Linked DNA regions of Macaca mulatta. The protein of the gene in region 2 purifies or fractionates together with the protein of the main gene of each other region. This does not show direct contact. Links are inferred from orthologs where the notes say so. Each region holds a gene or a part of one and is shown on either strand. Other genes may lie near its edges.

Region 1 (4,305 bases), about 19 Mb from region 2:
GGATGAGAGAGACGATCAATTTTACTCGAGAAGCGTACAATAAAGCTTGCATTCTTAACCCCCTTAAGTGCAAGGACTGTGTTTTCTGTAGCCAAAAATCAGGGCATGTTTTCAAACGTTAAGTGTAAGTTAGAATTATTCCAGAAAACTAATTCATTCAAAAAAAAAAAAAAAAAAAAGCAACTGAGGCACCACCGTAACCAAGTTCTGTTACTCTCGGGACGCAAAAACAAATAAGGAATATCCCCTGCGCTGGAGGAATTCACAATCGGAAATGTATGGGAAATAAGGCTGTACTGTAGTTAATTACAGCCAGAAGATAACTTTCAGTAAGTGGCAAGAGTCTAATGAACTGCAATATCTAAGGAAACCATGCAGAATCAGCTCAGGCATGCTTGTCTGTCTTCTGATGTGGTACACACATTAGGAGTGGGGGGTGGGGCTGCCTATAAGGACCTGAGCATGTGGCTCTCAGGGAGGGAGGCTTTCATAAATTGGTGAAAAACCTAGCATATCTAAAGTTAGTTTGTTTTTTTGACAAAACCGTTTTTAAAAGATAAGTCAATGAGAAAAGAAGTTTAACGTATTTAGAAAGCAATTCAGCCATCCCTCTCAAGCTTAAGGAACACTCTCCTGAAACCTCCAAAAATGGGCATAATAGAGTTAAAGCGAGCCAGTCTTACGTTTGCATGCTTTGGAATTTGAAATGCAGCGCAACTATTTCGACTCACCATGGAAAACAACAAATAGAACCTTCAAGTAAAACATTTTTCAATATCCAAAAACCTTCTTTAAACAAAGAAAAATCTCACCTCCAAATATTTTTTCCAAATACAATAACTGGTTTTACATTTTAAACATCATTACATATTTAACTACATAATACACTCTACAAGATTTCAGAAAATCGGGTACATTTTCGGGTGCACCATGAAATGAAGTGTTCAACTTAAAACTGCACACACTTCTGCGAGGCGTTAAGATATGCTTAGGTCCTAGAAGCTCAAGGCTTGAAGTAAAAAAGGAATCTAGTTCCTCTTCTGCCGCTTCGTTAAGTGCATTCCAAAAAGTGTGATCGTTTACTCCACTCAGAACTTTTGACGATTTTAATGCTACTACAAGAAAGAGCAATTACACTGGGCAAATCAATATTTAAGTAGACTGCAATTCAGTATTTGCGCACTTACCACTAACCCCTACTACGAACCAGAAGCAACCAAGAGTGACCCAATCGGAAAAGAGAATCCTCTTTTTGGCAAAGCCAGGCAGAGAGAAAACCTTAACTTTGGGGATTCATTTCAAGGAATGTCTACAAGCATTCCTCTCTCTCTTAATTATCTTATGTCTGCTCTACACAATATTGCACGGGCGGCAGAAACAGAGGTCTTTCAGATCTTGGGGGGAAAAAAGCGCACGACCCCCGAGTCTGAGGACCCCAAGTCCCAGCAGCCTGGCGGGCACACGTTTACCCTCAGGGTCAGGGCGCGCGCTCCCGTTGCGGCCGGGGGCGCGCCGACGCCGCGGCGCAGGGCCCGGCCCGACTCGCGAGCGCTAGGCGGGCGCCGGGGGGCTCTGTCCGGTTCGGCCGCCGGGCTCGCATCCCTGCGCGCATGCCCCGGCCCATAGCCCCAGGAGAACGGGGCAAAAGGGCGACTGTTACCCAATAATAGCGCCCTGCACGTTCGCAACAATGCAGGCAGGGAACCCGAGAGCCGCGGGCAGGGAACCGGAAAGCGAGAGAGCCCGGCTCGGCGGCTGCTCCTGCGCGCGAGCCCAGGGCTCACAGGGGAGCACGCGTCGGCCGGAAAGCAGCGCTGGGGAGAAGCGTGGGCGCGAGGGGGCAAGGGCACGGGTCCCGGCGTCCCGCGGAGGTCGCCTCACGAGGCGAGGCGAGGCGCGGACGTCCGAGCTGCCCCGTGCCACACGTCGGCCCAGCTTCCGAGGGCCCAGCCCGGTCGCGGCGGGGAAAGGTGCCGGCGCCACCAGGCCGCCGCCTCCAGGCGCGATGAATCGGGCTTTTTCCCAGTGCGTAGTCCAGGCCTGGCCGCCCCGGCCCGTCCGGGGTGACTCAGGGCCCGGCCCCGCTCGCTCTCCTGCCGCCCTCGGCGTCCTCCGCCCACGAGTCCCCCGGCCCGGCCGCCATTCCGCCCGGCCGCGTTTCGGCTGCTCAGGCCTCGCCAGGCGCCTGGGCTTGGCCGCCGCGGCCCAAGTCACTGCGACACCGCGGCTCGGGGCCGGGCCTGCGCCGCCGCCGCCACCTCCTCTCGGCCCCGGCGGCTGCCGACACTCACCCGCATCTCTGTGGTGCCCCAAAGGCTCCCGCGACGCCTCCGCCTGGTCGCTGGGCCTGGGCCCCGGCGAAAGCCCCGTCCCGCCAAGGTCTGGCTGCGTCCCTCAGCCACCGGGGCTGCCCCGCCTGGAGCTGCGTGCGACACGGCGCCCGCCTCCTCCTCCTCCCCTGCCCGCCCGGCCCTCCTCCTCCCGCCGCCGCCGCCGCCTGCACCACGCAACCTCCGCCCTCTCGCCTTCCCTCCGCGGCTCCCCGCCCTCTTCGGCCTCACCGGCTCCGGCGACCGCGGGGGAGAAGCTGTTGGGGGAGGGCCGGAACGCACCGCCATCGGCGTCCGGGGCGGGGGAGCCGAGAAACCGTCGTCGCCATCGCCCCGCCAGCCCGAGGCGCGGGAGGGGCCCGGAAAGCTCCCGCCCGCCCGCCGATGCCGGCGGCCCCGGGGGCGCCCCTTCCGCGGCCGAGGCCCCCGCTAGCGTGGGGAGCTTCTACCTGCGAGCCCGCGGCCCCTGCCCCGGACACCCGAGCCATCCCCGACCCGGGGCACCGGATTCTCCGCCAGGTTTTACAGCCTCCCTCGCCTTGGGGCCGCCGCGGAGGACCCCTTCCCGCCACTTCGGACCTCGCGAGCGGGGCTGAGCTGCTTGGGTCGGGGACACCACCAGCCTCTGGAGAAACGGCCTGAAGCACCCCGAAGGAGAGGGGGTCCCAGTCCCCCCACTCCTCCCCTGTGCGCACACCGCCCCCCCCAGCTGGCCTCGAACCTGACTCCCCACCTTTGTCGACCGGGACTGGGGGATGCACCCTAGATCAGAAAGTCAGAGGTGGCCAGGTGGCCCTCCAAATCGGCGCAGACTTCCGAGGAACCTGCAGCCAATTCTCGATCCCCTTAACACCTGCAAGGCCTTAGGAATCGGCTCCAGAAAGCTCGAGCTTATCTGCGTGTCTCTTTTTAAAAATCACTTATAAGATTAAACCTAACTAGGCTTTCCCTTTCAGACTTTCACTAACTCCTGTTTGGCAAATTTTGACATTCACTCTATCCTTCGTCTTTGTAAGGACAAATCAAGACTTAGAAGGCTTTGATTACATACACGGATGGCATGAGTCGTGATATAAAGTAGTATTGTTTTCACGTGTAGTTCGAAGTCATCTCATTTGAAATTAACTGTCATAATTGGCTATTTGGAATATTCAACCTAAAGCCTATCCGCTGCTGTGGTGACGGGTGGAGGAAGCGTTGTGGAACCCCCACATCTAGTGAGGGGTGGCTTATTAATACCACGGCTCACAGCATAACAGAGCGGCTCATTCCATGAACAACCCCGGGGGGATTTCGAACTCTATCATCTGGGCAAAAGATGTAATGAGTGTAACTTCCTGTTTTCTCCAAACGAAAACACTACACAGATTCCTGTACCACTCTGGGACAGAAATCCTCAGCCAGAGCAGAGGGCCGTCGCCAGAGTCCACACTGTTTCCTGCGTAACGTGGGTTTGTCTCTGAAGAAACATCCCACTGGTGTATGTGATCCCCTCTATTGAAATGTGGTCTTTTATCCACATCTCAGTCTCTCTAGAAGTAATGCATTTGTATGTACTTGTCACTCAGGTATGTAATCCCTTAATTTGTGCGGGATGTTGGGGTGTGAACAATTCTTGGTTTACATCCTACACTTTTGAATAACCTCGTCAAAACTTAGATGTATTTAACGCTTTTTTTTTTTTTGTGAGCACATGGTAAAGTTGGAAGTAAAAATGGAAGGTTTATCCCTGTGGCCCATGTTTTCCAGTGTACATATGTGGGTTTTTTAAAAAAAAAAAGTCCCAATTTCTTCCTTTTACTGGAAACTGCGTTTTTTAGACAACTTAAGCTTCCTATTCCCTAACCAGTCTTCTCCAATCTTACCATTCAATATGGCCTTTTCTGTGACTTCCTCCAGCTGAATAGAAGGGCTGAGTGGGTCAACCTTCCCTTTATTGTTTGTTTCCTCCACCCTCTATTTTTCCTTAATAGCA
Region 2 (3,808 bases):
TTTCCTCGCATTTTCTTTATTTTTTTTCACTCCTTTTGTGTTAAACAAGCTACACTTTATCACAAGGGATAAGGGATACCCAACCCCCAGGCCATGGATAGGTACCAGGTCGCACAGCAGGAGGTGAGCAGCAGGCAGGCAAGCAAAGCTTCATCTGAATTTACAGCCGCTCCCCATTGTTTGCATTACCACCTGGGCTCTGCCTCCTGTCAGATCAGCAGTGGCATTAGATTCTCACAGGAACAGGAACCCTACTGTGAAGTGCACATGTGGGGGATCTAGACTTCGGGCTCCTTATGAGAGTCTGACACCTGATGTCTGTCACTGTTTCCCATCACCCCCAGATGAGATCATCTAGTTGCAGGAAAACAAGCTCAGGGTTCCCAGTGATTCTATATTATGGTGAGTTGTATAATTATTTCATTATACATTACAATATAATAATAATAGAAATAAAGTACACAATACATGTAATGTGCTTACATCATCCCAAAACCATCCTCCCAACCCTGGTCCGTGGAAAAATGGTCTTCCACGAAAACGGTCCCTGGTGCCAAAAAGGTTGGGGACCACTGCCATATCAGGTTTGTCCCTGTATCACACTGCTGTTCCATTTGCCTGAAATATCTATTATTTCTCCAGAATCCACCCCAAAGGAGCAAAAAGGAGCAAAAAACATGACTGACATTTTTCCCCTTTGGTCACCCAACTTTAAACTTATTCACAGGGTCTACTTTTTGCACTGGACCATGGAAGGGCTCATGCCTGCTTCTCCGTGCTGCCCAGGGAAAGCCCAACATGCTGTTTCTGCTCAGCCACTGCTACATGCGCGGTGGACTCACCGAACTGCTGGAGGAGCAGAGGCGAGCTCGTTTGGCTTTCCGCAGAGGGCTAGATGGTACCTCCAGGCCAGGGGTGTCTCCTGTTCCCATGCTTCGGGTCACTGGGCGAGTTCTGGTGGTGGGGCTAGCAGCCTCTGGCTCAGGACGGTCAACAGGACTGGAAGAGTCCCAGCTCCGAGTTCGAGAGACAATGGGACCAGGGCTCTTTTCAGCCTGAAGGAAAGGGGAGATAATGGAATTACACAAATGATATTAATGATACTTCTTTCTTTAATCTTCTTCTTTTTGAGACAGAATCTCGCTTTGTTTCCAAGGCTGGAGTGCAGTGAGGCGATCTTGGCTCACTACAACCTCTGCCTCCCAAGTTCAAGTGATTCTCCTGCCTCAGCCTCCCAAGTAGCTGGGATTACAGGCGCCCACCACCACCCCTGGCTAATTTTTGCATTTTTGGTAGAGACGGGGTTTCACCATGTTGGCTAGGCTGGTCTCGAACTCCTGACCTCAAGTGATCCACCTGCCTCAGTCTCCCAAAGTGCTGGGATTACAGGCGTGAGCCACCGGGTCTGGCTGAATTTAGCTTCTCCATTAGTGAACAGAAACACTACGTGATATTGTGACCAATGTAGTGGGAAGTGAAGCCTATCCACCTAAATTAATTTCCAACTTTCTACCAATAATACTTTTTTTTTTTTTTTTTTTTGAGACGGAGTCTTGCTCTGTCGCCGGGGCTGGAGTGCAGTGGCCGGATCTTGGCTCACTGCAAGCTCCGCCTCCCGGGTTTACGCCATTCTCCTGCCTCAGCCTCCCGAGTAGCTGGGACCACAGGCGCCCGCCACCTCGCCCAGCTAGTTTTTTTTTTTTTGTATTTTTTAGTAGAGACGGTGTTTCACCGTGTTAGCCAGGATGGTCTCGATCTCCTGACCTCGTGCTCCGCCCGTCTCGGCCTCCCAAAGTGCTGGGATTACAGGCTTGAGCCACCGCGCCCGGCCTTTTTTTTTTTTTTTTTTTTGAGACGGAGACTTGCTCTGTCGCCTGGGCTGGAGTGCGGTGGCCGGATCTCAGCTCACTGCAAGCTCCGCCTCCCGGGTTCACGCCATTCTCCTGCCTCAGCCTCCGGAGTAGCTGGGACTACAGGCGCCCGCCTAGTTTTCTGTATTTTTTTAGTAGAGATGGGGTTTCACTGTGTTAGCCAGGATGGTCTCGATCTCCTGACCTTGTGATCCGCCCGTCTCGGCCTCCCAAAGTGCTGGGATTACAGGCTTGAGCCACCGCGCCCGGCCTACCAATAACACTTTTGCCAAGAATGTTGTTTAAAAGTCCACCCCAAACAAGCTAAGTGCATACCTGCTCTGAGCCTGGGGAGAAAGTGGCATCCTGGCTCCGCGTCATCATCCTCCGAGGAGATTCAGGCACCAGAGGTAAGCGCTCTGGTCGCCCCTCAAGGCCTGGGATCGGGGAGCTGGTCAGGCCAAAGGATGCATCCAGGTCAGTCATGGATGATTCAATCTGCTGGAAGCCCCAGAGCCCCACCTTCCTCATACACTGCGAACATGTTATCAGGGAAAGCTGCATGGGTTCCAAAGAGGAACTAGATAGGAATGAAAAAAAAAGAGAATTTTCTCAAAGTGTAACATTTCCAAATGACTAAGTGTAATGTCTCGCAAGTATGCTTTATCTCATCCAATTTCTGGAACAGTCCAGTGGACAGGGAACCATGGCCTGTCAGAGCCTCTGTGCTCCAATCTCAGGACCCCAGCTTCATACTTCATCATCTCTCATGTATTTCCCATAGAAAGACCTAGGGTTCTTATTGTGCTCTTTATGGTAAGACTGTTTTGCAGGCATGTTTTAAAAGTTTCTCGGCCAGGTGTGGTGGCTCATGCCTGCAATCCCAGCACTTTGGGAGGCCACGACGGGTGGATCACCTGCGGTCCTGAGGTCGGGAGTTTGAGACCAGCCTGACCACCAACAACAACGAAAAGGTTTCTCCTGTCCTTCTTTTTTTTTTTTTTTGAGATAGAGTTTACTCGTTGCCCAGGCTGGAGTGCAATGGTACGATCTCGGCTCACTGCAACCTCTGCCTCCCAGGTTCAAGTGATTCTCCTGCCCCAGCCTCCTGAGTAGCTGGGATTACAGGCACCTGCCACCATGCCCGGCTAATTTTTGTATTTTTAGTAGAGATGCGGTTTCACCATGTTGGCCAGGTGAGCCACTGTACCCGCCTCTCTTGTCCCTCTTAAAGTCTTTTCCCTTTAGACGAAAAACATTCCTTAATCTACCAAAGAGAGCATATTTAAAATAAATCAAGATTTATTTATTGTCAGAACCAATCTGACTTTAAATATGCTCTCTTTGGTAGATTAAGGATAGTGGGAGTCTATGCCAAATTGAACAGCTGGAATGGAAATAGCAACACGGGGGCCTAGAAGACTCCAGCTGGTGTTTCCTATGGTAGTTTTCATCAATTAAGTGGATTTTTCTTCCTTTCTAAAAATAGAAAAGAACTTCCTTTCTATTTTTCCTTCTTAAAAATAGAAAAGAGCTTATTTTCTTTCTATTTTTAGAAAGGAGGTTCACTGTTTATAGAACACAAATTCCCAGTCGAGAAGCAACCGTACAATAAACAAAGTTCAGTTGTGAACACCAAGAATTCCTGAATTCCAGTTCTGGTTTTGTTACTAATTCTTATTATCCATTCTCCACGCTGCCATCCCCCACCCAGTTTCTCTTTGTCTCTTTTTCTCACGGGAAACACCATGTGATTCCTAAATGCGATAAGTGACTGACATATACAAGTGTAATGCTGTTGTCATGGCTCATGTCTCCGGGCAAAATTCGCTGACTCACCTACATGCCCAGCCACACACAGAGAGAATACAGGCAGTGACGTGGACTTGGATGTCTGAGCCTAATTTGATTGTAGTTTTTCTCTCATCAGTTCGGTGATCAAGTTCATCTTCAAGCAG

The links.
Region 1: the proteins of ZC3HC1 (region 2) and CUL1 purify together in Homo sapiens (affinity purification with western blotting; 3 studies listed by BioGRID, with this or other methods). This does not show direct contact. The link is inferred for Macaca mulatta from reciprocal best matches to the Homo sapiens genes ZC3HC1 and CUL1.

What each region holds. Positions count from the first base shown.
Region 1 is NC_133408.1:188,517,049-188,521,353, reverse strand, and holds the start of CUL1 (cullin-1), read right to left. Parts: upstream 2,812-4,305; 5' UTR 2,562-2,811; intron 2,436-2,561; exon of another isoform or gene 2,292-2,435; intron 1-2,291. UniProt on the Homo sapiens protein: Core component of multiple cullin-RING-based SCF (SKP1-CUL1-F-box protein) E3 ubiquitin-protein ligase complexes, which mediate the ubiquitination of proteins involved in cell cycle progression, signal transduction and transcription.
Region 2 is NC_133408.1:169,702,155-169,705,962, forward strand, and holds part of ZC3HC1 (zinc finger C3HC-type protein 1), read right to left. Parts: coding exon 3,690-3,808; intron 2,431-3,689; coding exon 2,187-2,430; intron 1,056-2,186; coding exon 843-1,055; intron 1-842. UniProt on the Homo sapiens protein: Required for proper positioning of a substantial amount of TPR at the nuclear basket (NB) through interaction with TPR.